4 linked regions of the Struthio camelus genome follow. The protein of the gene in region 3 interacts with the protein of the main gene of each other region in a pairwise test. Links are inferred from orthologs where the notes say so. Each region holds a gene or a part of one and is shown on either strand. Other genes may lie near its edges.

Region 1 (7,562 bases), on a different chromosome or scaffold from region 3:
GGGTTTCAGTCTGTTTTACAGTGAAGACTGGAGGCTGAGTGTTTAAGACGCCTGAGGAGCCTGACACCATTTGTCGCAAGTGTTGGATGTATAGGAGGTGCGTTTTGTGCCGTGCCTTGAGGGCACCCCTGACACTAGGGAATAACCTTGGGAGTTAAATGCATCTCACTCTGCTATTAGCTTCAAGTGCTTTGGATTATTAGACTAGCAAAGATCTGCCATCCAGCCAGAGGTGTATGCAGGCATTATCTGGAGCGGGCAGGATGGCTCAGCAATGTCTTTGCTGGGAGAGTGGAGTTACATAAGCTACAAACTATTTTCTTCAATCCCCCGATTTCTCCTCCCACCCCCATGCCCCCTGTAAATGTTTCCTGATGGCTGAGTAAGAGGGCCTGGGTCTATGCATATGGTCAGTGTGCGTGACCATATGTTCAGCGTCAGTGTCCAGCTGTTCTTTGTCCTTTGCGCAGCTGTAAATTTGTTAGGCTCCATGTGATGCAGCAAGCATGGGGATTTTCAGCTTTTCTTTCCACTTTTTACAAAATGTGAGAAGTTTTTTGTTAAGGGCAAAAGTCTCAGAAATGCGAACCTCTTAAAACTAGAGCAGAGCTATTTACACAAGAGTACAGAAAACCTGCTACAGTATGCCAGCGATCTGACCTGGTCATCTGTCTAATGGGATGTTAGCTCACATAACCCAGATGTAGTGACTGTGCTGTTCAGGTTTCCGTATAGGAAAGAAAATGGAAGAGGCTTGTAAATGCATGCGTTCATTGTGATGTCTCACTGTGGTGCCAAAAATGTGCGATGGCCTTTGAGCGACTCCATTACCACTTTTCTCTAATTAAAAATTGGTTATTCAAACTGTGGGACACGCACAAGGTGCCCAGCTGTGAGATTGATTGCACACGATGAAACAATTTACTCGTCTCTGCAAGTTTTTGTGAGCAGTCGCTCCCTTGGGTGACTGGCAGAGGTAAAACATAATGTGTGGGGGGGAACTCAGCAGCATACTGGTCTCCCTGTGCTTTCGGGCTCCACCTCCAGTTGAGTGTCTCCCACTAGGTGCTTACCTTTCTATTGTATGGTGATTGCACAGTATGTTTAGGAGGAAAATGCATTTGCTTCCCAGCCTTAAAGCTATTGTGCTAAGGAGGAAAATGTTGCACAAAAGCATTAAAAAGAAAACAACTTGGAAAAGTCAAAGTGTGTAATCGTGCAACTAAGGCTGGGGGAGTTAAAAAGCTTAAAATTACTTTAGCACATCACTTCACTTGACAGATGGGAACTCATTTATGTAAATTTAGGGAAGTGGTAGTTGGATTCAGTTGGTCTAATTTAAACACTATTTCCAATTATTTTTTGTACGTGTAGAGAGGATTATAGGATGGTCATTGCATTGACAGCAGGGCTCTTCATATATAAATTTAAATCAATCAAAGACTACTCTGGTAAAAAAAAAAAAAAAAAAAAAAAGTGAACATGCTGCGATAGCAAGCACCTAATTATGGAGGCAGGGTAGACCAGCTACTGTGGTGAACAGGGGCGTGCGCACATATCTCAGATGGTCCGTTTCATTATACCCTAAAAATCACTGGCAGGGCCGCTGAGAGGTCAAGAGGCGCCTGACCCATGGACGGGAGCTCCCTGTGAAAACGTCTGCTGACGCGGAGCGTGGAGCTGGCGGCAGATGGGCCCTTGCAGGTTTCCACGGAATGCAGGCCCTGGAGACACCCAAAAGCGCAGAGAGATGACACAATTAACAGTTCCCCCTCCCTGCAACCTGGTGCTACTAATTTGAGTTAAAACACATAACAGCCTCTTTGGAAAATCTTCCCCTTAACATCTTGACAGCTTTCTCCTTTTGCCAAGAGAAGGAGCAGGTTTACAACCGTGGGGAGGTGCCACATGACAGCTTGACTTGACACCTGAGAAGTAAATGAACGAGGGAAGGGAAGCCTCAGCTTGCTTCCAGCCTGGCACAAATGCAGTGCCCTGGGAACGTGGGTGCGAGTAACTACCGGAGCCACAGCAGGGCCAGGTGCGACCCAGGGGAGTCCAACCTGAAGCAAGCGTGAGGAGGGAGCACGAGGCCCGGTACCTCAGTGTGAAAGCGTTACTCATTGGCAGGAGGCCCAAGGGAAGGCTGAGGCCTGGCAACGGTGGACTCTTGGAGGCGTGGGACGAGGCTCGGAGCTCCACACCGTACAGCAGCACCTTGCGGGTTGATCTCGGCTGACTTTTCTCCCCTGAGCCTCTGCAGCAACGGGTTGGTTCAGCTCTCTCAAAAGGTGGGTAGCAATCACTAGAGGAACTGAGAGTTTATTCTTTGATTACAAGATGATCAACATTTTTGGAGGTGTAACTCATGTTTTTCAAACCTTGAAGGAGAGGGTACCAAGAACAAGACTACACAGCACTCAGTTCATCAGTCCATATAATTTTAGGGCAGCGAGCACCAGAATCCCCTGCGGAGAGCACTGGGAGGCCTAACACCACAGCAGCGCAGCTGCCTGAAGCATGCACGCTGTTGAGGAATGACTCCCCCCCCCACCCCCAAGTGCATGTCATGGCACAGGGTCCCTGTCAGGGTGTTTTGTGATCCCAAAATCTCTCTGTGAAATTAGACTACTACAGCTGCAAAATATGAATGTGTCTCGGCACAACTGCCTAAAGAAAAATTGAAACACACAATTAAGTAGCTGAAGTTGTAAATTTTAACCCACAGGAGAAAAAATGAGAGAAAAATGCTTTGCACATGAGATTTTCAAAGCAGTGTTAACGAACGCTGAGCCTGACTCATCCTTCACATGGGAGAACCTTTGCAAGCTAAGAGGAAGATGTCTTCAGGCAGACATCCCTCAGGGCAGGGATTTCTATCTCGTTTCTCTTTTAAGGGAAGAAACTTAAAGGGCTGGCCCCAAAGACTGCATGTTTGTTGACTGACCCCACCAAGTGTTTGGGATCTATCTGTAAGTCTAGAAATCCCCTGGAGGATAGATGGATGCCTCTGGGCCAGCGTTCAATGCAGAATAACCCTTCCCACAATGCCAGGTTGGTGCACTAGCCCTGGATCTTCTCTACTTGGTGTCTACCAAGTGTCATGCTATCATGTCAAAGTGAGGGATGTCATATAGCCCAGGGCTGCCCTGCAGTGGCAGCAGGGGCTCTGTGGAACCTCATGGGAGCATGAGATGAGTAACCACAGCTGCTAATTCATTTCCAAGAGGGAAATGACCTCCCTTGAGAAAGCTGGGAGGCTTTAGCTGAGGGTGCTGATCCCTTCCTATGTAGGAGAAAGGTTGCTGTTAGGTGCTTGCTGAGAGAATTCAGTAGGGCATTCAACTCTTCAACATTGTTCTAAGGGTAGGCATTTTCATCACAGTTTTAGAGATACTGAGGGACTTGCCTAGGACATAAAGGAAGTCAGTGTTAAAGCCAGGAACTGACCAAACAGACCTCCTAACTCATGACTTCAGCACTCTGCTTTAGCCATGGCTGTCCTTTCTCTCTGTTTCAGCTGACCTTGGATTATACACTTTCCTCTGTTAAAGTTGAAAAGCTGACTACTTGGAGGCTGAGAATTTACCCTTCCTCTTGCCCCTGTACAATAGCTGCTTTTCACATGGAATCTGCACAAAAGAAACATTTTGTTCTTCCTCTGCTGATCAGAAGAACTGAGCAGCAGTTACGTTAAAAGCATAAGGGTCTGACCCTAGCACACATTGTATTCAAAAACAAAGCTTCTCTTGATATCAGTGGATGTGGAATTAGACCTAGGCTCTGGAAGAGTGCTGCTAGCAAGTTGCTGTTAAGTAAATTAATGCAAAATGATAAAAAAGGCTAAGGCTTCATAAAATGAAAATGCAGATTAGAAGCGCTTAGCAAACAAATGCTATTTTTAAGGGTCCCCAAGTCACAAACTTGAGGGGAGAAAGTTCCAGGCCAGTCTATTTCAGCATATTCCTGATCTGAAGCACCTCAGTTGCCTCATTAACCCCACGCTGCCGAAGTCCGTGAGTGAAACCAGCACGTGTTTTTTTTTTTTCAGGTCGTGCCGACCCTGGCCAACAGCTGCGCCCACCCCGGCGGGGGGGTGACACAAACCCAGGCCCTCGTCTTCTACCTCCAGCCGGCTGTGAGCGCTTCGCACCCGTCGAGGCGAGGACGGAGACGCCCCGGCCCAACGGTCGCCCGAGCCCAACGGTCGCCGCGCGCCGCGTTCTTCCCCCCCCCTCCCTCCCCCCCCCAGCCCCTTGGCGCCCTCGCTTCTCGTTCCCCCCGCCGTCGCGTCCCCCGCGGCACGACGGGGGAAGGGGTTTCCCGGTGCACCCCCGCGCCTCCCGGATGTCGCCCGGCGGGGCCCGGAAGTGGGCTCGAGTGGGCGGGCGGGGGGAGGGGGAGAGGGGAGGGGGCGGGCGCATGCGCAGGAGGCGCCGCCCAGCCGCGCCCCGCCCCCGCGGCGCGGTGGGGGTCTCGCGCGCTGCCTGCCCGCGGCGCGAGGCCGGGCCCGGGCGGCGGGTAGCGGGACGGGCGGGCGGCAGCGGGACGGGCGGGCGGGCGGAGGGGAGGGGAGGGGAGAGGATGTGAAGATGGCGGAGCTGCAGATGCTGCTGGAGGAGGAGATCCCGGGGGGGCGCCGGGCCCTGTTCGACAGCTACACGAACCTCGAGCGGGTGGCCGAGTACTGCGAGACCAACTACATCCAGGTGCGGCGGGGCGGGCCGGGCCGGGCGCAGCCTAACGGTCGCCGCGCGCAGCCTAACGGTCGCCGCGCGGGCGGCGAGGCGCTGTGAGGGGAGAGGGGCGGGCGTTGGGGCAGCCCCCCGCTTGGCAGGGTGGCGGCGGCCCTCACCGCCGTTTGTCGGGGGCCGCCGCAGCTCCCCGGGGGGGCGGCGGGGTCGAGCCGTCGTCCCGTGTCCCCCCCCCCCCCCCCCGGCGATGCTGGCGGCGGGCGGGTGGCACCGGCTGCCGCTGCTGCCGCCCGAGGAGGGGGAAGGCGGGTTCGCCTCCAGAATGGGCTACCCCGGCGTGACACGGCGTTTAAACGTTTCGTTGGTTTCTAAATTAAAGTCCTTCCACTTCGTGAGCGTGCTGCTGGATGTTTATTTCAGATTTTTTCCCTCTCCCGTTCCCTTCCCACCTTTCCCTCTCCTTTGGTGACAGCAGCGACATGACGTGATAAACCGAGGGGATATTCGACCCCTTTAAATTTAGTATTTGCGCTTGTTAGTCTACAGCACGCTGACATAATTTTTAGTTGGGATCTGCCTGTCGGTTCATATGTTTCCCTTTGCAAGCAGGGCTGCGGTATTCAAACGGGTGGGCAGCTGCCAAGTGATGAGTGCAGGATGAAAGCTTGGTACAGTAGGAAAGATACTGAACTAGGGGCAGAGAGACTGAGCAGAAGTTGTTACTGCAGCGTATGATTTTGCAGTGACCCCCGAGAGGTAGGGTTGGTGGGAGGACTCTTTGCTGGGAAGAGAAACCAGGTTTAGTCTGTTTACTTGGATAGCGGTACCGAGGCCAAATTAAGAGAGTTCCCCCTGAAAACCCCGTCAAACAAAACCCCAAAACGATAACAAAATTAGCGGAAGTTAGCTCCTAAGAACGGCCTGGATGCATAGAGAAGAAAGTAGGGGGACGTAGATTTGTGGTGTCAGTGCTGAAAGATGCGCACAGGTTTCCAGTTTTATTTTTGTTTTTAGTCCCCTAAGTGGAAAGTGCTTGTGTGTTTCCAAAGGGCAAGTAGGGATAAGAGCTGTGATTAGATTATTTTATCGGTGAAGAAGGAAAAGACTATTTAACCAGTGACAAGGGACTAGGTAAAATGTCACAGTAAAGAAGCTCAAACTGTTTCTTATAAATTGGTGCATAACCATCCTTCTTTCAGAGAGAGAGGATTTTGCATGTGTTAGGTCACTTAGAAAACGTGTTAGTTACAGTGAAATTGCATACGTATACTTTATTATGTAAGTAGTAACATTCCATATGTTGAATGAACGTCACTTGCATTTGTAAAGAAAAATATGTTAAAATATTTTATTACTGCTGTAATCTGACATGTATGTTTTAAAATTTATGCTTTTTTAAAAAATGGGAAACTGATTTTTCTGGAAAAAGAGACAGGAGTCTTGGAAGGCTGAAACTGGTAGGAAGAGGGAGATATGAGTGGTTTTTTTTTTTTTTTGTTCTCTCTTTCTTTGACCTTCTTGAGCGTTCTTCCTATAAGCAGAGGATTATAAAATCCATATCCAGCAGCTCCACTTGTATTGTTTTAATAGATACCACAGAGGAGGACAGTGCTGTGCTGTTTTGTGCAGATACAAAACAGAAAAAAAAATGGTTCTTGCCCCAGACAGCGTACAATCTAAGAATAGCCTAAAATAATAGGATACAGACAGATGGTGAGTAAAGATGAATGAGACACTATTGGTAAGCCTGATGGATTCTGGCCACCACGCAGCAGGACCCTGACTGTTGCCAGTTCATCCAAACATCATGACGATGGAGAGCTTTCAAGGGGGGCTAGAAGGAAAGAACAAAACTGCGTTATGAGCGTCGGCTGTGAAGTGCAGTGTGGGTCACAGTATGAAAATGGGGGTGGGGGGTGGAGGTGGAGGTGGGGGGTGGAGGTCCCCAGCCAACTGGAGATAGGTTTTGGGCCTTTTGGTATTGACTGAGAAACCACAGTGAGGGGTTATTCTTGAGAAGAGTTCCAACTTGAAGGCCTTCTGGATTTAGTAGACCCGAGTGTCCTTGTAACAAATCTACCAGGGAACCCTCCCCACACTCGTGGTGTCTCTTACCAAAATTGCATAAACTCTCGATACACAAAGCTGTCTTTTTTTTTTTCCTCTTAAAAAATGGAAAAAGGTAAATGAGTATAATTAACAGCATTGCTAGTTTTACCTCTAAGAGTACTTATTATTCCACAATTATGTCCAAATTGCGTCCAGAAAAGTAGCCTTGCGTTTTGTGCTGAAGATGGATGGACTTGTGATTGCATGCAACTGTGTGGAGAGTAATCTCCCCAAAAGTCATGTAGCGAGGAGGGATTAATTCTACTGCAATCTTGCAGTGTTTCATTGTTGACGGAAGTTTTTTGTCATGGATATTCTTGAGATCTCTTAGAGGAGGCTCAGAACATGACAGATCTGAACTTGATCTGTTGAATGGTAGGCAGTACAGTGATTGGGGCATTGAAGTCCTATCACATTGACCTGTATTTGTCGGTAGAAAAGCTGCTCCCTTTTTCTATACCGGTTGGTGCTTTGAGGTTTTTGTGGTTTTACTTTTAAGTACAGAAATTGCTGCAAAAGTCAGTAGTGGCATAGGTCAGTCTAATAAAGAATTGGAAGTATAGTGCAAAGGTGAATGTCATTTTTCCCCTTTAGCAGTATCGTAGCATCTTCAGAATAATCAAGCGTGTAATCTCTTACATATGGGAATTGCTAGTTCATAGCAGTAGAGCTGCGATTGCAGCTCGTTTGACCTGTTCATATGAAATGAAAAGTCCATTCTTTGAAGTCTTGGCAGTGTTTGATTAAGCAAATTGTGAT
Region 2 (6,843 bases), on a different chromosome or scaffold from region 3:
GGGAATGTTTACTCATCTTCTTACCGTGTGAAGATGCCACTATCTTCTTCCTCTCTTCCACTGTGGCTAGTCGCCTCCACAGTGAGGGATATCTCTTGTACAGGGAACCTCGGAACATACGCAGATAGTTCCCCACCTACAAGGAGGAATGGGGAGACACGGCCTGGAAATACGTTCCGTCTAGAAAGATATTTAGCAGAACCCGAAGCAAATTCAGGACTTGGTAATGACAACTGGGACCTCTAGAGAAGATGTATTTGTTTTGGTTTTTTGCCAAAAGGCTCATCATATAGCATATAGCCCAATTTTTGCAGCAATACAGAAAAAGCTTTTATCAGCATTTATTTCACTAGTCTGATAAGAAAAAACTCTCATCCATCGACAATAATCCATTTAATAGGAAAACCCATTCATTTTCATGTATTTTTGAACAGTCTAATGTTTCCTCTACTCCAGTTGCTGTTCCAATGAACAATGCTCATTAGAAATTACATCAAACCAGATACCTAGCTGTCCAACAATATTATTTTTACTTTGAACCTCTGTGCCATCCAGATATCACTTGGATATAGCAAAGCCCAGAGACTTGCCTTGTGTTTTATTTAAAATTCTTTGAACATATAGAACATGAACACTAACAACAATCCTCTCTCAAATTTACTTGGCATCTGTAAAGCAGTTCCATTTTCCCTCGGTGCAAGATTCACACCCACACTGAAAGCTACACCAAGATCTGCTAAAGTACTATTTCTAGACTACAAAACTAAAATTTTAGACTGGCAATATACTTGCGGACTGCCACACAACAAGGTTTGTTTTTCAAGACTCGTTTTGGTCCTAAGATCTAATTTCAGATAATTGTTAATCTTATCTGTTTCTCTACAGGACTCATCAACAGACAGAAATTAGCTTGTACATAAAAAGGCAACTCTCTTTTCCCCTTGCACACATCTGGTATTGCAAACTCGCAGATTTGCTGACTGCAGTTACAGTTCTTCTAGGAAACATTTCACACGCTCTCAAGAGAGTGAGTGATCTTGAGTCCCTGCTCAACATGTACAGTTGACAATTTAAGTTATCCAAGATTTCTTGTCCTACATCTTTTCCTGTTCTTTTCCAACTGTAATCATTTCTCTGCTTCTTGCTTCACTAAGTCCAGCCTTCAAGAAGCAGCCTCTCACCACGAGAGAATACCATTTCTGCAAATACACTGGGGTGCTGAAATTCTACACAAGGCTGAAGAGGCTGCACTGGCTGATGCTGTTGTTATTACTAAGCATAAAGGCCTAGATGTTGACTTAAATCACCTCAGAGCATCTGAAATAATCCCAAATGTTCGAACAAGCACGCTACAAAAATGTCACAAGTTAGAGCATCAGGCCATAAAGCTCAGCAACTCTCAAGCAGAGGGGAGCAGGACATAATACTGGGGCCCAAGGCTGTGACCCACAGAGGAACCAGCCTCTATACTCCGTGATGTACACAGACACGTGTGACTTGTGAGAGCCGCCCTTGCTGGGAGCGCTGACCCCAGCAAAGGTGAGATGCCCCAGCTCGACCGCTGAGAGCCCAAACTGCTGCCCGCGCAACAGCCGCCAGCGCGCGCAGCGGAGAGGACCTGCAGGGCTGGCAGCACCACGCTGGGCAGGATCCCCTCCCGGGGTGCAAGGGGAGACTCCTAGGCCTCTCCTGCGCGAGCCTCACCACGAGCTCCCATGGCACAGACTTCCCCCTCCGGGAGCCCTCATGTCACTTCCCCCCAGGTGCGAGCAGGCACCCCATAGCCCCTGCCCTACTCTGAGCCCAGCCCTGCCATGCTCCCTCCCCCCAGCCCAGCCCCCTGAGCCCACCCTCCATAGTGCCCCCCAGCCCAGACCCCATAGCTCCCCCCAGCCCTGAGCCCAGACCCCTGAGCCCACCCTCCATAGCTCCTCACAGCCCCCCAGCCCAGACCCCTGAGCCCACCCTCCATAGCTCCCCCCAGCCCTGAGCCCAGACCCCCTGAGCCCACCCTCCATAGCTCCTCGCAGCCCCCCAGCCCAGACCCCTGAGCCCACCCTCCATAGCTCCCCCCAGCCCTGAGCCCAGACCCCTGAGCCCACCCTCCATAGCTCCCCCCAGCCCTGAGCCCAGACCCCTGAGCCCACCCTCCATAGCTCCCCCCAGCCCTGAGCCCAGACCCCTGAGCCCACCCTCCATAGCTCCCCGCAGCCCCTCAGCCCATCCCCCATAGCTCCCCCCAGCCCTGAGCCTAGACCCCCCCAGCCCATCCCCCATAGCTCCCCCCAGCCCTGAGCCTAGACCCCCCCCAGCCCATCCCCCATAGCTCCCCCCAGCCCAGCCCCCCATAGCTCTCTACAGACTCTCCACAGCCCAGCCCCCCCATGACTCCCCCTGAGCTCAGGACTCCCCCACGGCTCCCCACTCCCCCCAGCCGGGGACCCCCTATAGATTCCTACAGCCCACCTCCCTCTCCAAACCCAACCCCCCCCCCGAGCTCCGGACCCCTATAGCTCCCCAGAGCGGCCCCTCCGAGCTCAGCCCCCCCCAGCTCCCCACAACCCCCCCCCCGAGTCCGGCCACCTCCATAACTTCCCCCTGGGCCCCCCGGGCCTCCACCGAGCCCGGCGCCCCCCACCCCCCGACCATCCCCCCAACCCACCCCTATACCTCCCCTGACATCCCCCCGCCCCCCCCAGGGCCGAGTCCCGCCCTGCCCCGCCCGGGCCATTGTGCGCGGGGCCGCGCGTCCCGCCGCACCTCGGAGCCGATCATGTAGAACTCGCCGTCCTCCTCCAGCTGGAACTTGACGGGCTTCTGCCCGAAGGTCTTGCTCAGCGCCATCATCATCATCGTGGCGGCGGCGCGGGGCGGCGGCGGCAGCGCCGCGGTCCTGAGCGGGGCGAGCGCGAGAGCCGGCGGCAGCGGCGGCGGCAACGACGAGCAGCGCCGCGGCCTAGTCCGAGCGCCGCCTCGCGCATGCGCCGGGGCGCCCCGCCCCCGCCGGCCGGGCCTTAAAGGCGCCGCGCGCGGCGAAAGAGGCCGCGCGCGGCCGTTGCCGCCTCACCGCGAGGGGAGGGCGGTCCCTGAGGAGGGGGTGGGGCGGCGGCGGCAGCCGTTAACGGTCGCGCGTTGAGGTAACGCTCCGCCGCGGGAGCCGGTGGCGAGGCAGGGCGAGGCAGGCGGCGCTTGGGCAGGAGGCCGGTTTATTGGTACAGCACAGTACACAAATATATACACAGTATATATCGCGGGGGTCGTGCGCGTCGTGCAAGCGCGGAGCGGCCGGGCCGGGGGCTTCCCCGCGCCGTCCTCGGCCCCCGGGCGGCGCGGAGCTGAACGGCTGTCTTCCTTTCGTCCCCCAGGGAGGAGGGGGCGGTGAGGCGCGTGAGTGGGTCGCGAGTTTGAAAGGAAGAGACCCTTTCCCTTTTTTTTTTTTTTTTCTTTCCTCCCCATACTGCTGTGTAGCATGTGCAAAGAGCTGAACTGAGGCTTGTGCATTGTCGGAATGGTGTCCGGATGGACCTGTCTGCTGGAAATAGTGAGTGGGACGAGACCCATCAGTGCGGTAATGAGCAACCTAATACCAGGAACCTAACTTAAAAAGAACATACGGAGCAATAGGGCAGTGACCAGCACTGAAACCTAGCGTCTTGGAAGGAAGGAGGCACATTGTCTATTTACAAAACAGTATAAAATTCTAACGCATACTAGTGATACAACATAAAACCAAGAGTAGAGCTGTGACAGGGTATTGGTATTCACCATTGCAGCTGTGGTGAAGTGACCCTGGCAACATGGCTACACGTCTGAATTTCTCCATAGGCAGTCAGTGTCCGTAAAACTCCCTGGCTAAGGGTGAGGAAGGCATCTCAGTGGAATCCTTCCTCTGAGGCCAATGTCTGGAACAGCAAATGGGATGCTACTGTGAGCAATGTAAACATAGGAAATACCACCAGATCAGTTTAACATGATAGGGTCCAGGTTAATTAGGAAAGCCTGATCCCATTTCAGGCTTGCTCAAAGGCTTTTGGGATGCCATTGTTGGAAGAGCTTGGCCACTTTAGCAGTTTAGTGGCTGCTCTGTTTGTAGAGAATGTGCCAGACACTTTATTTTGGAGGCTGCTGGAACTGGAGAGGAGCAACCTTTGTCACTTGTGACAGGCATCAGTTGTATCAGATGCTGAGCCTTAAAGGAAGCCAGGAGTGGCAGCGAGAACCCTGTGTCTGTGTGGCTGCTGGAGATAAAGGAGATGAGAGGGAAATGTGGAGGACGTGAGCATCCCCCTCTTCATCGGAAGGAGTTGGAGGAAGGTGTGCAGCTGAAGAAGTCCTGGCTGATCTGGCGTGGGTAACCCTCCAGCACTTTCACCTGGACTGGGTCAAATTTCCAGTAATCTTGGCCTCTCAGGAAATAGGCAAAACCTGTAGATGGGAGATAAAGGGTTAGGAAAGACAAGGCCCACACAGCTCAGCTCTTTCCTAGCATTTTGTTTTGCTGATGCACCACAGCACATGGGATGTGGAGTACTAAAAGAGAGCCTGGATTCAAGTGAAATGAATCTAGCTGCATCTTCAGCCTTTTCCAGATTTGTGACTTGCACTGTTCTTTCACATGGCTTTAGTTTTGATGGAAGAGCAAACAGGATGGATTTTATTTTACATATTGGGTGATTTTAAATATGCTGTGCCAGTGTAGTAGCCTAGCCCTGGAAGGGCAGAGGGAGTTTAGGATCTGAACAGGACCGATGGAAGGGAGTTTGTGAAGACCTGCTAAAGAGTATCTGTTACCGTAGGGAAATTTCTCTGGGATTTTAGGTCATTACTGGAAGCACCAGTGAGTTATTCCACCACATCCTTTGGGAGAGAGGGAGTTGCACAGCCGTCATCCCAAGCACCCAGTGTATCTGTGGCACTGCATGGGACACCTCTGGGAGGACTAGCTAATACTGGAAGCAGCCTGCTCATTCAGGACAGCTACCTAGGCTGAAATGTGGGCAGCGGTTCTGGTGACATCTCATCTCTTCCTCTGTGGGAAGTGGTAGCAGCTGGGCAAGACTCCATGAATATTTCTTTGTGAGAAGTTTGAATTCTCTCTATCAGATGCATAGCTGTTAACTAATTTTTGCAATTAATAATTACAAGGCTTGCTACTTCAGTGAGAGAAGCCTCAGTTCCCTCCCCACTGGAGGGAGCTGCCTTGCTCTCCATACACTGTATATCATGTGCAATGGCTGGAAAATGTCCATTATTATTAAGCATCTAAATCTGCCCAGTTCTTCCAGCTGGGAAGCGAGGTCAGCCTGAAAGACCACCCCAGAGCAGGCCTTGTCCCTTCTGGCACTGACCAAACTCATCTTGGAAAGCAGCATCAGTCTCCTGAGGGACGCCACGCCAGTCAGCCATGGTCCGAGGGTAGATGTTGTCCACTTGACGGGTATGAGGGTTGAAGCGCCAGTAGTTGCCTCCGCTGAAGATGTAGATCTTGTTCTTCTCAGCCCCCCACACCAAAGCTGCCTGGACAGGGGAAGCAGGGAGGCCCAGCTCCGCAATAGGGGTAGGGCCAGAAACCCGTCTTTCACCTTCATAAATCCAGTACCGAGAGTCTGGCGAGAAGGCAGAAAAGGGAGACAAAGCTCAGAAACTCTTTAGTATCTGATAACTCAGCAGTGAGCTGTGCAACTGGGAGCGGTGCCTTGGCAGAGCTCCCAGGCAAAGGAGAGAGGAGAAATCCCATCACTGTCACAAACACTGTCACTGACAGGCACCTGAAGCCTAGGAGCGCAAGGAGCTGAATTCCCACCTCTCTCCAGCCCAGAGGGTAGGATGAGGAAGACTGCTTTCACAGCTGTCTTTTTTTTCTATTTATGGAAGTTGTAATAAACGATTTGGCTTTGTATTTGAGCTATCCAGCTGCCCAGCCTGTTTTCTCATAGGCTTATCACTGTGGAGAGCCCTGCACGCATGTGGAAGGGCGTATTTCTCTCAAGCTGCTCCAGTCAGCTGGGTCTGGTTGTAGTTTTCAAGTAGGCGTTTGGGCAGTGGATCAAAGCCCTGAGCTTTGAGTTTGCTCTGGTTATGCCGAAGGAGGATCAAAACCCATTGTTGGATAAAACAATTTACAAAGCTGTAGAGATTGACAGGGTGAACGTTGATTCCTTTGACACCTATGCTGTGAAGCCTGGTGCTGTTGGGTGGGAGGAAAGAAGAAAAATGGGTCATCCTCTGACTGGACAGGGGGCATATTGCTTGTATGCCAAATCTGTGCACAGGGTAGAGTGGGAGGGACCTGTACTTACCCTCCAAGCCCTGCTCTTAGAGGAGAACATATGTGAGCATGCACAGGCATAAGGGGGGCATGTGGCTCTGAAGGAGCGAGCTACATAAACCAGCAAGAGGTTGCCAAACTGATAATATTTCCAGTTCAGGTTAAAATGGGAATCTCTATAATTACCCTGCAGCATGTAATACTTTTTCTTTATCTCATTTTAACTCGTGGTAGGAGCCTGCCAATTTTAGCACTGTAAACCCTTGTCTGCAGGTCAGGTGCTAGGTAATCTGCTTATGCAATAACGCTGCCTGCAGAGCTGCTTGGTGCGTTTTCCAGTACTTGATCTCACAGTGCACAGATGGGGCATGCACACACAGGGCAGCCAGGTAGCTATGTAATCCTGCATCCTCTCTGTTAAATTTGCACTGGGAAAGAGCATTAAAGAAAACAGTGAAGCTGAAACAGGGATTGTTGCTGGTCTTGGGCTTCAGAAATGGCTAGGAGGAAGTTTGGCTGTTTCATGAGCGATTGGTTTTTAACCCCTGCAGTGGCTGGAGATGGCCTAGCTCTGC
Region 3 (7,193 bases):
TTACCTGGCTCTCATCTTCCTCTCTGTTTCAATCCTCAGAACATTGTTCGGGCAGTCTTGGCCAGAAAGGCAGCAAGAGGAGTGTGAAAGAGCTAGCAGTGCTCAGCAGTGCCTCTGCTGCTCCCAAACCCCAGGCCATGAAGTTCTTATGCTGATTACCTGCAAAGTCCAGGACCCCTCCCTGTGGCCTGGCCCTCCCAGGGGCCCAAACTCAGGTGCCAAAATTTGCCCTTCTCTGAGACCACCCCCATCACATCCCTCCAGCTCCTTCCTTGAGGTGAGGGGACTGATCTTCCCCTTTTCCTCTGCTTCATACAAGGGAAGGAGTGCAGAGCCTTCAACCCTGAGCTTGTTCCCAGCCTTCTGCTGCCCCATGTCCAACCTGATCCCCCCTAAAACTGGCCAAACACCTCCCAGTTCCCATCCCTGGGGTCCTGGCGTTGTCCTGGATTACACGTACCTTCCCTCTGCTCAGCTCTGTATGTTTTTGTAGCAGATGGATTATTGCTGTTCCCTCTCAGCCCCTCTGTAATCTGCGCCGGGGTGTCGAGTGCTAACAGATGGGTGATGCTAAGAAATAACATGCTTTTAATAAATCTTTTAGTTTAAAACCAGAGGGGTGCGGGGAGACGTGTGGATGTTGCTTCTGGCCTCCTTGCCTCCGCCTCACGCAGGAAGCAATGGTTGGGTATCAGCTCCCACCTAAGCGGGCCCTGGACAGGCCTTTGCTCCCCTGAGAGCTGCCGCAGGGGGGATCTCGGCCCTGCCCAGCCCATCGTGGCTTCCCATCTTCACGTTGGTGGCTCCCTTAAGTGGCTTTTGCCCCTCTGTTGTGCCTTGGAAGGGACAGGTGGTTTGCTCCATGTCCTGTGGAGTGGGTGAGGGGAGACATAGGCCGCTTGCCACTATGCTTGATGGCTGCGGAGAGCTGTTCTGCACCACTTTCCCCCTGCAAAAACCCCCTCCTGCCATTCCTGTCTACCCATCCCTACTCTTGCCCTAGGGGCTCCCTTATCTCTAGCTCTGGCCAGCTGCCAACCCCAGCATCTCTGCCTGGGCACTGCGGCTCTCCCCTCTGCACCGTGGTGATTCCCTGCCCTTCTGTGCTACATTGGGTACCGCACTGGGGCCTGAAGCCATCAAGGACCTGCCTTGGGCTGCTCCAGTGGCCTGTGAACGGGGCAGCCCACTGTTAGCTGCTTTCCTCTCCTTCCAGCCCTGGCAGAGGACGAAATGACGCTGGATCCTATTTTTCTAGCCAGAGCTTGGTCCCTGGGTGCCACGATGCATCTGGGTCCCTGTGACCCGCGTTGAAGGCGACTTCCTCCCACAAAGCCTCGGAGCCGGCCAAACTGCCGAACGGGTGCAGGGAAGAGGGATGCAAGGTCTGAGCCGGGCTGGGGCGCTCAGCGCACTCCCCCGTGCCCTGGCCCCTGCGCTCCTGCCGCAAGCTGGCCCCGGGTGTGCGGTGGAGCTGCTTGCAAGCTACTCCCCTGGGGCTTGGGGGTGACCGGCTCCTCCTGACCTACTTCGCTTGCCCAGCTCTGGCGCGGAGAGCTGCCTTGCAGCAGTGGGTGCTCGCCTTTGTATTCTTGGAGGCTGGAAGCTTATAATTAAAACTTCCAGCTTTCTCCTCTTCATTTGTCTCATTAAGAGGAGGCTGGGGGTGGGGGGAGAGCCCAGATCTGCCTCCCCACAGCCGCTGGGAGTGACAGCTTTTTGCAAAAGGCGTCAATGCTTTGATCCTGGCTGCGTAGGAGCCAGGAGAAAATAAGTATCAGGGGAGATTAGCGGAGACTTCCTCAGTGCCCCGAAGATCCGGCGCCCGCCTTGCCTCCCTGCACCAAGCAGCCCTCCCTCCATGCTGGTGCGGTGGCGGCGAGAGCGAGGGCTGCAGGTTCCCCAGGCCGCATGTCCCTTTGGCTTCAGGACAGGGTGCTCTCGTGCTGAAATTCGGCTCGAGGTACCTAGGGACCCTGCTGGGTGGTTTTACGTCCATTAGAGCGTGAGACCCCAAGCTAGCCTCACGGATGAGGAGCTTTGATGGGGAGTGAGTTGCTGTGATTTAATTCCTGCTTCTGGTTCCCGAGGGCTGCAGCCCCCCTGCACAAGGTCTGGTGGCAGGACCCAGGCGTCCTGGCGTGCCAGTATGGGTGCTGGCCCCCGGGAGCATCCTGCATCCAGCCCCGCTCCTGTCCCCGCTGCAGCCTCTGCTGGGAAGCCGGCCACCAATGCTGGCTTCCCGATCTCAGCGCCGTCCCCTGCTCTGCCCTGCCAGGACCATGGGCTGCCAGGCTGGAAGGATGAGATTGTCCTCTCCGGCCACAGCCATGGGACATAGTCCCCAGGGACACGGCCACAGGACATAGCCCAGGACATGGCGGCAGCAGGCAGCCTGGGGCAGCCAGCCCATCCCTGGTGGCCAGGCCACGGCCCACCAGCAGCTCTCGGCACCAGTGTGGACAGGGAGCCTTTCCCGGCCATCGGCTGCCACCTAGCTGCCAGCCAGCGAGGCCTGTCCCCGTCACTGCAGCGTCCCCACGAGTGCACAAGAGACCCTGCTGTCCCCCATCAATGTGCCTGGGGTCAGCCACCCTCGGTGGCTCTGTCCCAGCCACCTCTCAGGGCTCCTGCTGGCCGCTGCTCCCCCTAAGCCACCATGCGTGTCCCCAAAGCCTCCTCGCCCCTTGCTCTGCTCCCCAATCCCCACCAGCCTGGAGGGGCCAGATACCGCCCAGGATGTCCCCCACCATGCTGCGACTCGGAGGGGACGTGGCTCCCGGTGGCCATGTGCCCATCGCCCCCCAAATCCTGCCCAGCAACCGCAAGCTGGGGAAAACCCCGGGATCCGGCCTCATTGTGCTGCCCCGAGTTTACCGGTGGTGAGCAGCTCTGCGTCCCCGCGCCAGCCTGGCATAAAGGCACCCTCATTGCTATGCCGGAGTGGTCGGGTCCCCTCGGCGCCCCTGTTCCCGGGCGCCGCTCGCTGCCCCACAGTGCACAAAGCCCCTTTCACACAACTCTGGCGCTCTCCACGCTGGGAAAGCCTCTGGCCCTCGGCCACGTGCCTGGGGGCCGGGAGGCGAGCCAGGGCTGTGGGGGCCCCAGCCCCTCCTTACGTTCCCGCAATTGGAAAAGGGGACAAATAACCCCGACTTGGTGCACAGATGAGCACCCTGCGGGGATGGGGCCGCCCTGTCGCCGGCGGTGCTGACAGATCCCCATGGTACCCGGGGCTTTGCCCTGGCCGTGCACACGCGTGTGCCCGCTCAGAGCAGTGTGATGGCGGAGGTGCTGGCGTCTCGGCATACCCCCCGCCCCAGGATGGTGGGTTTAACGAAGGGCTCCCCCGTTAGCCATCCTCGGGGCCTCGGGGCAGCAGAAGCAGGGATCCCAGCGGGCTGCCTGCTCTCTTGAAATCTCAAATTCTGCCTTTTTTTTTTTTTTTTTTTTTGCTAGGATAGGACATGAAGCCCCAAAGTTTCCCGTGCTCCCCCATTGCTGCACCGAGCTGGGAATGGGACCCAGGAGTCCTGGCCAGGGCTATGAGTTTGCGCTGCTCTTGCAGACCCGCTGGGGTGGAACCAGCTTTGGAGGGTTCCAATAGACACTTAATTAAAAGTCTATCTTAATTAGCTTCTTCTCCGCATGGCCAAACTTCCTTCAAACCTGCCTGAATGGGGCTGGCAGCCACGTATGTGCACGTGTGTGTATGCAGGGACAGGCATGCATGTACATAGCTGTGCATGCACATATGTGCGCACATGTACATGGAGGGAGAGACATGCATGCGCACAGCTGTGCGTGCACACGTGTGTGGGGGCACAGGCATGCATGTGCACAGCTGTATGAGCACATATGGCCGGCAGTTTCGTGGCAACTTTCGACCCCTGGGCACGGCTACACCTGAGCCCCTTGCAGCGGCACCCAGCTGCAGCGTGCACGTGGGCTTGCGGGGCCGTGGCACTGCTCTGCCTGCAGCACCCCGGGGGCTCCATCTGCCTGGCTCCCGCGGGTACCCGCAGAGCCCCAGTGGGGCCGGTGGAGCTGCTGGGCCGTGCCGCGGCGCTTGGGCAGGGTGCCAGCCTGCGTCCCTCCCCGCCAGGCACCACAAAGGCCGGGATTTGTGCTCGCCTCAGTGCCTGCTGGCCCCCCCGCCAGCCCCTCTGCATAAAACCCCCTGGCCGGGCCCCGCGCAGCCACCCCGCGCCATGGAGAGCCAGCGGCTGTCCTCCTACGGGCGCCGCTTCGGCCCCGCAGGCACCGTCGCCGCCCCGGCACCCCGGGCTGTCCCTGTGCGCTGGGGGCCCCCCGTCAGCTCCCCAGCCCGGCTCGCCACTGCCCGGGCCAGGAGCGTCCACCTTGGCCTCCGCTCCGGCTCCCGCCTGGGGCCAAGCAAGATGGACTTCTCGTTGGCTGACGCACTCAACTCGGAGTTCAGGGAGACGCGCACCAATGAGAAGGTGGAGATGATGGAGCTCAATGACCGCTTCGCCAGCTACATTGAGAAGGTCCGGCTCCTGGAGCAGCAGAACAAGGTGCTGGTGGTGGAGCTCAATCAGGCGCGGGACCAGGAGCCTTCGCGGCTGGCCGATGTCTACCAGGAGGAGCTGCGCGACCTGCGGCGCCATGTGGAGCAGCTCGCCACCGCCAAGGCCCGCCTGGAGATCGAGCGGGACAACCTTGCTGAGGACCTCGGTGGCCTCCGGCAAAAGTAAGGTGTTGCCCTGCTCGGAGTAGCCCTGGGGGGCAGGGTGGCCCCAGGCACAGGGGGGATGATGGGAACCAGGGGGGTGATGGGGACAAAGGTGGTCATCAAGATGAGGGTGGTGAGGGGATCAGGGTGGCCTTGGGGATGAGGGTAACCACTAGAACCAGGATTGTGATGGAGACCAGGGTTGTCCCAGGGACCAGGGCTGCCCCTAGGACTGAGATCAAGGTGGCCACCAGGATGAGTGTGTCCCTGGGGACCAGGGTGGGGATGGGGACCAGGGTGACCCTAAGGACCTGTGTGATAATGGGGACCAGGATGGCCCCAGGGAGTAGGGTGGTCACTGGGATGGGGATCAGGGTGACCACGGGGACCAGGGTGGTGATGGGGACCAGGATGACCCTGGGGACCATGGTGGTGATGGGAACCAGGCTGCCCCTGAGGAAGACCATGGTGTCCACCAAGGGATGTGGGATGAGCTGGGATTTTACGGGGCTCCGGGCACACACATGGAGGGGACACAGGGTGCAGTACGCAAGCTGGAGTACCCAGACACCTGGGTCCCATTGTGGGACACAGCGCTAGCCCACTGCAATGGGGCCAACCTCCAAGTCTGACTATTTCTAACTGAGCTGCATCGTGGGTGCTCGGCCCTATGTGTACACACAGGTGTGTCTGCTGGGTGCGGGTGTGCGTGCGGCTGGAAGCAGCACTGGTTTGGGTGTGTGCTAGCAGCTGAGGCTGGGGCCATGCATGCATGACCATGTCCATGTGTGCACAGCCATGCCTGTATCTCTCCATGCGTGTTTGTGTCCATGTCCAGGCATGCATGTCCATCCATGCACAGCTGTGCCCATGCCCGTGCATGTGTGTCTGTGTCCATGCATGCATGTCCATGTCAGTGTCTGTGCATGCATGGCTGTGTCCATGTCTGTGCATGCATGTCTGTGCATCCACGGCTGTGTCCACGCATGCATGTCCGTGTCCATGCGTGTCTGTGCATGTGTGTCTGTGCACGCATGGCCGTGTCCATGTCCGTGCATGCGTGGCGGTGGCTATGGCCAGGCTTGGCTCCAGGAAATGCGAGGCAGCGGGGGGGAGCGGGGGGGGGGGTCTGAAACCTCCCTGAAAACCCAAGGGGAAGTTCTGCGGGACACATGCACCCTGCAGCAGCCTCTGGGGTCCCTGGGCAAGGCCATGCATGCCTGGGGACCCCCGTGTAAGGGCCATGTGTGACACGGTGAGCTGGGTCTGCGCAGGTGGTGCGGCACGGCCGAGGCCGGGCCCTCGTGCCCGCCGGTGTGAGCGGGAGGATGTGAGGCTGGTGCGTGTCCAGCCTGATGGGGGGTGGGGGGGGGGGGGACCCAGGGACATGCATGTGGCATGGGGGGCCATGGGGAACACGTGCCCGGGGAGGGGTGGCGGGGAGTGTGGGGCCGTGCACATGCACTGACACAGGTGCCGGGGCCAGCGTTGGCGGCGGGGCTGGCCGAGGGGCCAAGGTGCACGTGGCCACCATGACTGGTGAGTGACGGTGCCTAACGAGTAACAGTACATAACACGTAGCAATGTGTAGCCAGTAACAGTGCCTAATGAGCACCGGTGCAAAGTGAGTACCAGTGCCTAACGAGCAGCAGCACCTAATGAGCGATGGTGCCTAATGAGCGAGGCTGTGTGAGGAGTAACGGTGGGTCTCCCTGCGGGTGCAGGCTCCAGGACGAGGTGACCCTGCGGCTGGAGGCCGAGAGCACCCTGGCTGCCTACAGGCAGGTGAGGGCAGGGGCCGAATCCTGCCCCCCAGCCCCGGGGAGCGGGGCAGGGGCGAGGGGTGGGCTGGGACAGACTGCATGGGGCAGGGACCAGCTGGGACATTCAGGATGGGCAGGGGACAGGCAGAGATGGGCAGGGGACGGTCTGGGACGCGCAGAGACAAGCAGGACTGGGCTGGGGAGGGCAGGGGACAGGCAGGGCAAGAGGCAAGGGTGGACAGGGATGGCCTGGGACACTCAGGGACAGGCAGGGATGGTCTGGGGTGCTCAGGCATGGACTGGGAAGGGCAGGGATGGTCTGTGACACTTGGGGACAGGCAGGGACAGGCAAGGCTAGAGGCAGGGAGGGCAGGGACAGCCTGGGACACTCGGGGATGGGCCGGGACAGGCAGGGATGGTCCGTGACACTTGGGAACAGGCAGGACTGGGCAGGAGGGAGCCAGTAGGTGCTGGGCTGGGCTGGGGCAGGGCCATTGCTGGGACAGGCAGGATCAGGCCAGGATCCTCAGGGCCAGCTCAGCAGGGACAGGTGAGGCATCACACTGTCTCTCCTCTTCCTCCCTCCTGCGGCAGGACGTCGACGCTGCCGCATTGGCTCGCCTGGACCTGGAGCGCAGGGTCGGCTCCCTGCAGGAGGAGATCACCTTCCTGAGGAAGGTCCACGATGAGGTAGTGCCATGGCCAGGCAGCATGCGGGGCCAGGGGTGGAGCGG
Region 4 (7,303 bases), on a different chromosome or scaffold from region 3:
GGCTTTCTTCAGTGTGTGTTTCCTATTCTGATAAAATCTTTTGTTTTCGACTCACAAAAAGAAAAAAAAGCATGCAAAAGCCCCACAAGAAACGTGCTGAACAAATGATCGTTTCGCATGTGTAACGGTACCATTTGCACTTCCTCACAAAACATTTATTAGTCAGTAGTTGTCACTAGAGAATTTCCCAAAGAACATCTCTTGCTATTACCGTCATGCACCTGGGGTGGGGAGAGACAAAATGGATGTATTTCTAAACCTCTTCCCCCTGCTCTTTCTGACCATAGTTGGAGAGAGAACTTGTTTTCAAAGTAGCTGAGCAAATTAACAAAATAGCAGTTGCTTGGGAGCAGACAACTCATGTTTTGCTATTGAATATTGAACAATGGGTGAAATCATTCTTCGATCCCTTACACTCCCCTCATTCATCTTCCCTGTAAAGTGGGTCTCTTTTCCAAGGCAGGCTGTCAGTATCATCAATGTCACAGCGGCTCTTTTGTTGCTGCTGGGACCGCTCTTTTTGATGGACAGTAGAAATTTGTCTGGTTTTTCAATTCAGGCCCTCATTGCACAATTCAGGCAAGAGAAACCAATCACCTGGATGTTGCTACTGCATTGATTTTTGGGCAAGGCATTCTGTCATTTTGTGGCACAGTTGCTTTCAATCTCTGCTGAGGAAACTTAGTAACATTTCTATAAAAGAAAAATACTTCCTTCCATAAAAAAATTTCCATTTGTCCATACTTTTTTCATTCTTTGTTCTTTTCCATAATTTCTCAAGGGACTGCGTTTTCTGTTTCTTAACTGAGCCATTGAAAATGTCCATCCCAGTCTAAGTGATCCCTCAGAACCTAATATAAATGACTACGCAGTAGAAACGGCAAGTGAAAACTGGGTGGTTTGAAAAATGAACAGAATGAGAACTGACTGAAAGTCAGTCCATCCTGACTTATGTGAACCTGCCCTCCATCCGCTCCCCAGCATCCTGTTAGATATTGTGCTTCAGAATGGTGTTAAAATCCAGATAAGAACCTCCCCCTAGCAGTAAGCTGGATTTATCCATTACCTTGCAGCTTCACCGCTGCGGCAAAAAAAGTTTCGTGCTCTCAAAGAACTCCTTTCCCGAGTGAAACACTGCCCTTTGCTTAAAGGAAACTGTGCAGAATCGCACTGAGTGGAGAGGATTTTTTCCAGCCTTTTTCATATAAAAATAAAACGTCAAATGGAGCCCTAAAGGCAAGCAGTGAAAGTTAGCAGCATGGAGGTTTATAACACAGGTCCGCTGGAGAATCGCTAGCTTGACCGTGCAGCTTATTTGAGGGAAAGTGTAAAATGTGTTGTTACATGGGAAATAGTAATTCACTCTGCAAGGTCAGTGCCTCTCTGTGGGGGTTCAGGAAAGAGCAGTAACTCTGGAACATTATTGTTCTATTAGTATGTTTAATTTTGGCAGTGTGAATAAGATGACTGAGCAGAGGTGTCCTGCTGACCATTACAAGCTGTATACCAAAGACTTGTTCTCTAGGTTCACTGCAGATTTCTGAGCATGTGAGCAAGTCTCAGAAATACTAATATGTTAAAATAAATGAGACTGAAGTTTCATTTTACTCTGCTTCCTCTGAGAAAACCCTTTTCTTGGATGAGGAGAGGAAATGAGGTAAAATTGTCATCCCTTTCCTAACTGTTGACCCCATACATTAAAGTCATCTCTCAAAAATCACAAGATGGCAGAATGATTCTATTTTAAAAATAGCTTTTGAATTTTAATTGCTTTTCAATTTTTGCCCTTCTAGAGTGCATTTGTATCATTGTTTCTCCTCTAAAATCATGAATATTGGAAACTTGAATTGAAATGAAAATTTACAGTATTACCTTATTACATGATGCAGAGGGTTATGAATATCAAGAATAATACTGAATATTGCAAAAGCTTACACACTGTTTCAAGCTCTCTTCTTTGTCTGTAACTTGAGGTTGTGGAAAACACATTTCCTGTTCTGACTGCAGCTGCTGGTAGAAGAAGCTATTGTCCACAGCAGTTGCAAACCACACTCGTGTCATAGTTACTGGCCTTTCTCTTCTCATGCAGTTCTTCCAAACACTTCTTAAATTGTTTCAGTCAGAACTGGTTGGTTTGGCTCACGGACTAACAATTTGCTCTTTAGCTTAAATATAAGCCCATGAAGCCAATATACCTGACTGCGCATGAAGAGGGTTAGGGAGTACGCACCTGAACTGCTGGCTGCCTGGAGGAAGTGGTAAAATCTGGGAGGGAAAAGACCCAGTGTATCAGTAAAGAGCATACATCACGATGAGCACAGGCTTTCCTTTCTGGGCAAGACCTGCGCTGTTCTTGCTTCTCCTCTCTCAGCCACAGTTGAGAGTCTTTTGCTGTATAAAGCTAAGGAATGAGCACAGCGTTTGTCAAAGCTGCTGGAATGTCCCTTGTATCCGCCCACTTACTTTGTTAATTGCTTCCTAAAGGGGGCTGATGTGCTACTTTTTCATGCAATGGCTATTAAGCTCTATCAGTTATGATTCTCTGCCTAGTGGTGATCTACGACAGGTTTTTCTTCAGAAGATGCTGCTAATTGTCATAGCATAAAGTGAACAAAGATGCAAATATGATTTACACATTGAATACCATCATGGAGATGATTATTCAGTCAGCGTTACCACTTTTAAAACATACTATCCAATGCAAATAGCTAATGAATTACCCCAACATTTTGCTCAGACTTTAACCCAAATAATGTTACTATTATTTGGCAACTGTGATTACGTTTGGTGGCAGACACACAGTAATGATTTGATCTTGTCCCAGAGAAATTGTGTGTCAGTTAAATACTTGCTTCACCTGAGATTTAGCAGCCCCTGTCATATACTATTGGCCAACTGCAACTTGTATGTACTTGAACACATTTTTTAAAGTTGCGCTTCTCCTGTCCAGACAGGTATTGAGCATTGGCAACCTGCCAGCTATAGAAGCCATATGTTAGCCATATGGAAGCCCCAAACTGGCTGCAAATGGAAGAGAAAGTGGCTGGAAGATAGTTCTGAAGACGGATCGTAGCAACGGGGAGCATCAGGCGCTATGTGGAGTCTGGGGGAGTCTGTTGAGCCACATCTTTCCCTTGCACAGTTCTCCTTAATCTGGGCTCCAGATGAGAAGTCCGAGGCTCAGGTAGAGTCCTTTTGGGCAGCAGCAGCACCTAAGGCTGGAATTCGGCCTTCCCATACCAATACTCTGTATTCATGGCCCTGTGAGTCAAGCGCCCACTAAGCTGTGTGTGCCATGACATGACATATTTGCTGTGACATTGACCTGGCAGGCTGTGGAACGTCTCCTAGAAGTTGGTGTGTGTGTGTGTGTGTGTGTGTGTGTGTGTGTGTGTGTGTGTGTGTGTGTGTGTACGTCTGTAGGTTTGAGTATGAGGTCTGGAGCAGGGCTGCGGGCCTCGGGCACTCACATGTCCCGGCACCAGCAACTGGGGACAGCGGGGATCCTGGGGGCAGCTCCTGGAAAGGCTGAGTGTCTACGGGCAGCTGCTGGAGGGATCCACATCGTATGTTTATGTATATATATGAGCTTTCCACTAATAGGCTTTCATTCTGATGAGCTGGTGAGTGGAACAGCATGAGGCCATCAGCGCTGCTTGTTTGCGCGAGTGCTGTTGTCCGTCGGCGTTCACCTCTGTGGCCACGTTCATATACGTTCATATATTGTATATATTCATATATATGCACGTGCTGTATGCACGCTAATTGGGAATAGGTGCTCAGCCCAGGCTGCACCTGGGCACAGGGGGGTGCGGCAGCCCCTCTCTCTCTCGGGCTGCCGGATGTGGCAGCTCCGAACGGAACTGCCCTTTTCTCGCAGGGGGAAAATGGCGGTTTGCCCTAGCAGCAGGGCAGCACCGAGACAGCCGCAGGCCCTTACACAGCCCTAACCCTGCCCTACGGAAACCTTTCGCGCGGTGCCAGCAACGCGCCTGGCCCGCGGGCGGGCTGCCCGCTTCCTGCGGCGCTTTCGCTTAGAAACCCTTTTTTTATTCTTTTTTTTTTTCCCGGATCATCCGTGCTGCCACGCCCCTCGCCCCGCCCCCGCCGCAGCGCCCCGCCCCAGTTCCACTGCCCCTCGCCCCGCCCCCGCCGCAGCGCCCCGCCCCAGTTCCACTGCCCCATCGCCCCGCCCCCGCCTCAGCGCCCCGCCCCTCGCCCCGGAATCCCCGCCCCTCTCCCCGCCCCAACCCCAGTGCACCGCCCCTCGCCCGCGCAGCTCCCAGCCGTTGTTTACGACAGCGCCGTGCGTGCGGTGAAGCTGCCCGGCGGCTGCTTTACGGCCGGGCCATGGCGTCGGAGCTGGAGGGCGAGGCGCGGGTGGCGGCGCGCAAGGAGCAGAGGCGGCGGGAACGGGAGGCGCTGCTGGCACAGGTGGGACCCCCGGCCTCTCCCCCCTTGCCGGGCAGAGCCTCTCCTCCCTCCGGGCAGCTGTGCCGTGGCGTACCCGCGGCGAGGGGAGGCCTCGGCCGGCGGCCTCCTTCTGCCCGGCCCCGAGGGCGGCCCTGCCCGCGTCCGGGCCCGGTCACGGCGGCCGGGGGCTCCGGGGGGAGAGCTCGAGCCCCTTCTCCCCTAGGGAGAGCCTTGTGCTGTCTGGCCAAAAAGGGGGGCTGGACCGCATCACCGGCAGTGACGAAAAGCTTTTCATTGGCAGCGGCCTCAGTTTATGTGTTTTGCCATTTACAGTGGTATTGATCCGTTCGGTATTTCACTTATCGTGTATGCCAATTCTTACATTTAAAGGCAATGTTTATAAGAAAATTAGGCAAGTCAGTGAACAGCAGCAACTTTGCCAGAACACTTTCATTTCCTCTTTGAAATCAAAGAAGTTCATGAGTATAAGAATAGTAAAGGAGCGTTTTGCATGACGTCTGGAGCCTATGGAAAGCTCTGTGTAAAAAGTTAACTTGGAATACCTTGGGTAACAGATTGCACTGAATATCCCTGTTCCTCTCGATGGCTTTCTTAATAAATAATGTTGAAATGCAGCTCTTCAGAGAAAACTCTATTGCTTGGTGCCATGATGCATTGAACTGCCCTGTCCTTCTCATTTTATAGAAAGTCCCGTTCACATCCCACTTTTACAAGATCAGATTGCGCTGTATAATGTTTATTTTAAGATTTGTTGAAACCAAGTAGTTGCTGTTCTTAATCATGCTTAGGAATACTTGAGAGCTAGCCAGAAAACAGAGCTTGTTGTACTTGGCACTATACAAATACAAGGTAGTATAACTTCAGAGAGTTTATATAGACAGAATAGCCACCAAGTGAAGCAACAGATATAACACCAGCTTGATGACTTCCTAGGGAAATGTATGTGCTTATAATTTATTTTTTCTTCAGAAGGTAATATAATGGGTAGGTAACAACTTGGACAGAAATGGGAGAGCCTGTTTTCGTGGAGCCAAGATATTAACTGATTGGTTACATCTTGCTGTAGCGTGAGCCAAGAGTTGGAAGTCTCCCTCTCATAGATGTTTTTGTCAAGTTGCTGCTACTATGAGAGCTATGTTAGATTTTATTTGAAGCCTGCTCATATGCTATCTTTGATACTTGTGCTGTAAGCTGCTGATTCTTGGTATGCATGTAGAGTGCATCCAAGTAGAGTGAATGATAAAGTAGTAAATGTCATGTTTGTTCCGTTGCATGATTTATTTTGAAGTTTAAGGACTAGGAGATAACTACATAGAAAGAAAAGTGAAGAAAAGAGTAAGAGGAGAACTGTTAAGGAAAAAGTCTAAAGTTGTGGTGACGGACTTTCAAGAGAAGGAAGACTAAAGTAAGCAGCAAACAAATCTTACTGGACAATACTGTTTTCAGAAAAAAAAGGAATTGGAAAGTGGCCTGAATATCCCAAGCGGCCTACAGGGTAGCGATGTTCTTCCTCAAGGTAAAGTCAGAGAGAAGACTAGAAGTAATATGTTGTGTGGGTATCTCCCTTGCACAGTTAGGGATCTAGGAGCGTTCTAGTGGAATATAGTAGGCGATAGGATTTCCCTTAAGTAACTTATTTGTTGAGTGGGATGTAATTACACTGATTCTGTGCTGTAGGAAGGGTGCATTACAACCTTGAATCTTTTCCGCCTTTTGACAAGCAGTTAAAGGAAATTCCTTTGACTTGGTAATAGTAAATAGTACCATCCTGTGAAAGTTTTACTTTTCATTTTGTTTTGCATTTTTCGCTACATTTAAGTTGTTACTAGGACTCCTGCTTTGCTCAGTTCAACCTCTTGGGTCTTCAGAAAATACTTTTAACTGGGAATGTTATGTAGGCTGCCATTTTCCTATCTCACATTTTCTTCCCACTTGCTGCTGCTTGTACTGCAAGCTCTCTGGGACAATTTTAAAAACCTTTTACTCATTTTACCTCTCATTTTAAAAACCTTTTACTACTACAGTAGCAGTAGTTTATTAAATAACCATATTCCTTCTTTTTATTTCCTTCAACATACGTCAGCAGTTTAATATGAAATAAAGTTCTTCTGTGAAGATGTTTGCAAATTTTTGGTGTAATTTCCCTTCCCGAATACCTGTGGGTGATTTCACTTCTTTTGTTCGTATCTGTAAAATACTGTTAATTTTGACTCATAGATACAAAAACATCACAAAAGTGTTTAATGTTATAGTAACGGGATTGTGATATTAATTATGCTGCAATCTCTGAAAAAGCTCATTTGCAGGTAGCTTTAACCTGTCATCATGCCCGTTTAAGTTCAGGGAGACACAGTAAAGCTCAGGAATTGGTTTTGGTTGCAGTAGTGTTGGAGAAATGCTACAGCAATGAAATAAAGCAGCTGTCATAGAGGAAAAGGTTGAAGTGGCTGATGTGAACGCTTAGTCGTCCAGAGCATGTGAAGTAAGAGGTGGTGAAGGTGGTTTTGCCAGGGTTTGAGTTGGTACTAGAAAGCACAATATCTTGAGCGCACTGGCTACAGTTCCACTGTTAGGATGTCTCGAAGTCCTTGATGATACTGTAGCCTTGTAGGTCCTAACTGTCTGTTCCACCCATTCTTATAGGTTTGGATGCTGTTCTTCAGCTTTGTTGAAGACTATTAGAAAAAACATGTTCTGAGGTTTTAGGATGAAACTAAATCTAAATCCTTGCCATCAGAAAAAGAAGGACAAAGCGGAAAACAGACAAACCAAAAACCTAACCTCTTCTTGACAGCACTCCCTGAAGTTTTATGTAGGAAAAAATTGCAAATGGGAAATTGTTTTTTTTTGTTTGTTTGCATATCTCCTT

Evidence for each region.
Region 1: the proteins of GFAP (region 3) and ABI2 interact in binary tests that used the Homo sapiens proteins (3 or more experiments, as listed by UniProt). The link is inferred for Struthio camelus from reciprocal best matches to the Homo sapiens genes GFAP and ABI2.
Region 2: the proteins of GFAP (region 3) and SMARCB1 interact in binary tests that used the Homo sapiens proteins (3 or more experiments, as listed by UniProt). The link is inferred for Struthio camelus from reciprocal best matches to the Homo sapiens genes GFAP and SMARCB1.
Region 4: the proteins of GFAP (region 3) and CWF19L2 interact in binary tests that used the Homo sapiens proteins (3 or more experiments, as listed by UniProt). The link is inferred for Struthio camelus from reciprocal best matches to the Homo sapiens genes GFAP and CWF19L2.

Annotation. Positions count from the first base shown.
Region 1 is NC_090947.1:7,860,976-7,868,537, forward strand, and holds the start of ABI2 (abl interactor 2), read left to right. Parts: upstream 1-4,551; 5' UTR 4,552-4,592; coding exon 4,593-4,709; intron 4,710-7,562. UniProt on the Homo sapiens protein: Regulator of actin cytoskeleton dynamics underlying cell motility and adhesion. Functions as a component of the WAVE complex, which activates actin nucleating machinery Arp2/3 to drive lamellipodia formation.
Region 2 is NC_090958.1:9,548,325-9,555,167, forward strand, and holds the start of SMARCB1 (SWI/SNF-related matrix-associated actin-dependent regulator of chromatin subfamily B member 1), read right to left. Parts: upstream 3,010-6,843; 5' UTR 2,854-3,009; coding exon 2,761-2,853; intron 137-2,760; coding exon 25-136; intron 1-24. Other genes in the region: MMP11 (stromelysin-3), read right to left, coding at 4,292-4,425, 5,349-5,606.
Region 3 is NC_090966.1:709,024-716,216, forward strand, and holds the start of GFAP (glial fibrillary acidic protein), read left to right. Parts: upstream 1-4,192; 5' UTR 4,193-4,211; coding exon 4,212-4,714; intron 4,715-6,420; coding exon 6,421-6,481; intron 6,482-7,053; coding exon 7,054-7,149; intron 7,150-7,193.
Region 4 is NC_090942.1:205,989,760-205,997,062, forward strand, and holds the start of CWF19L2 (CWF19-like protein 2), read left to right. Parts: upstream 1-4,281; 5' UTR 4,282-4,350; coding exon 4,351-4,434; intron 4,435-7,303.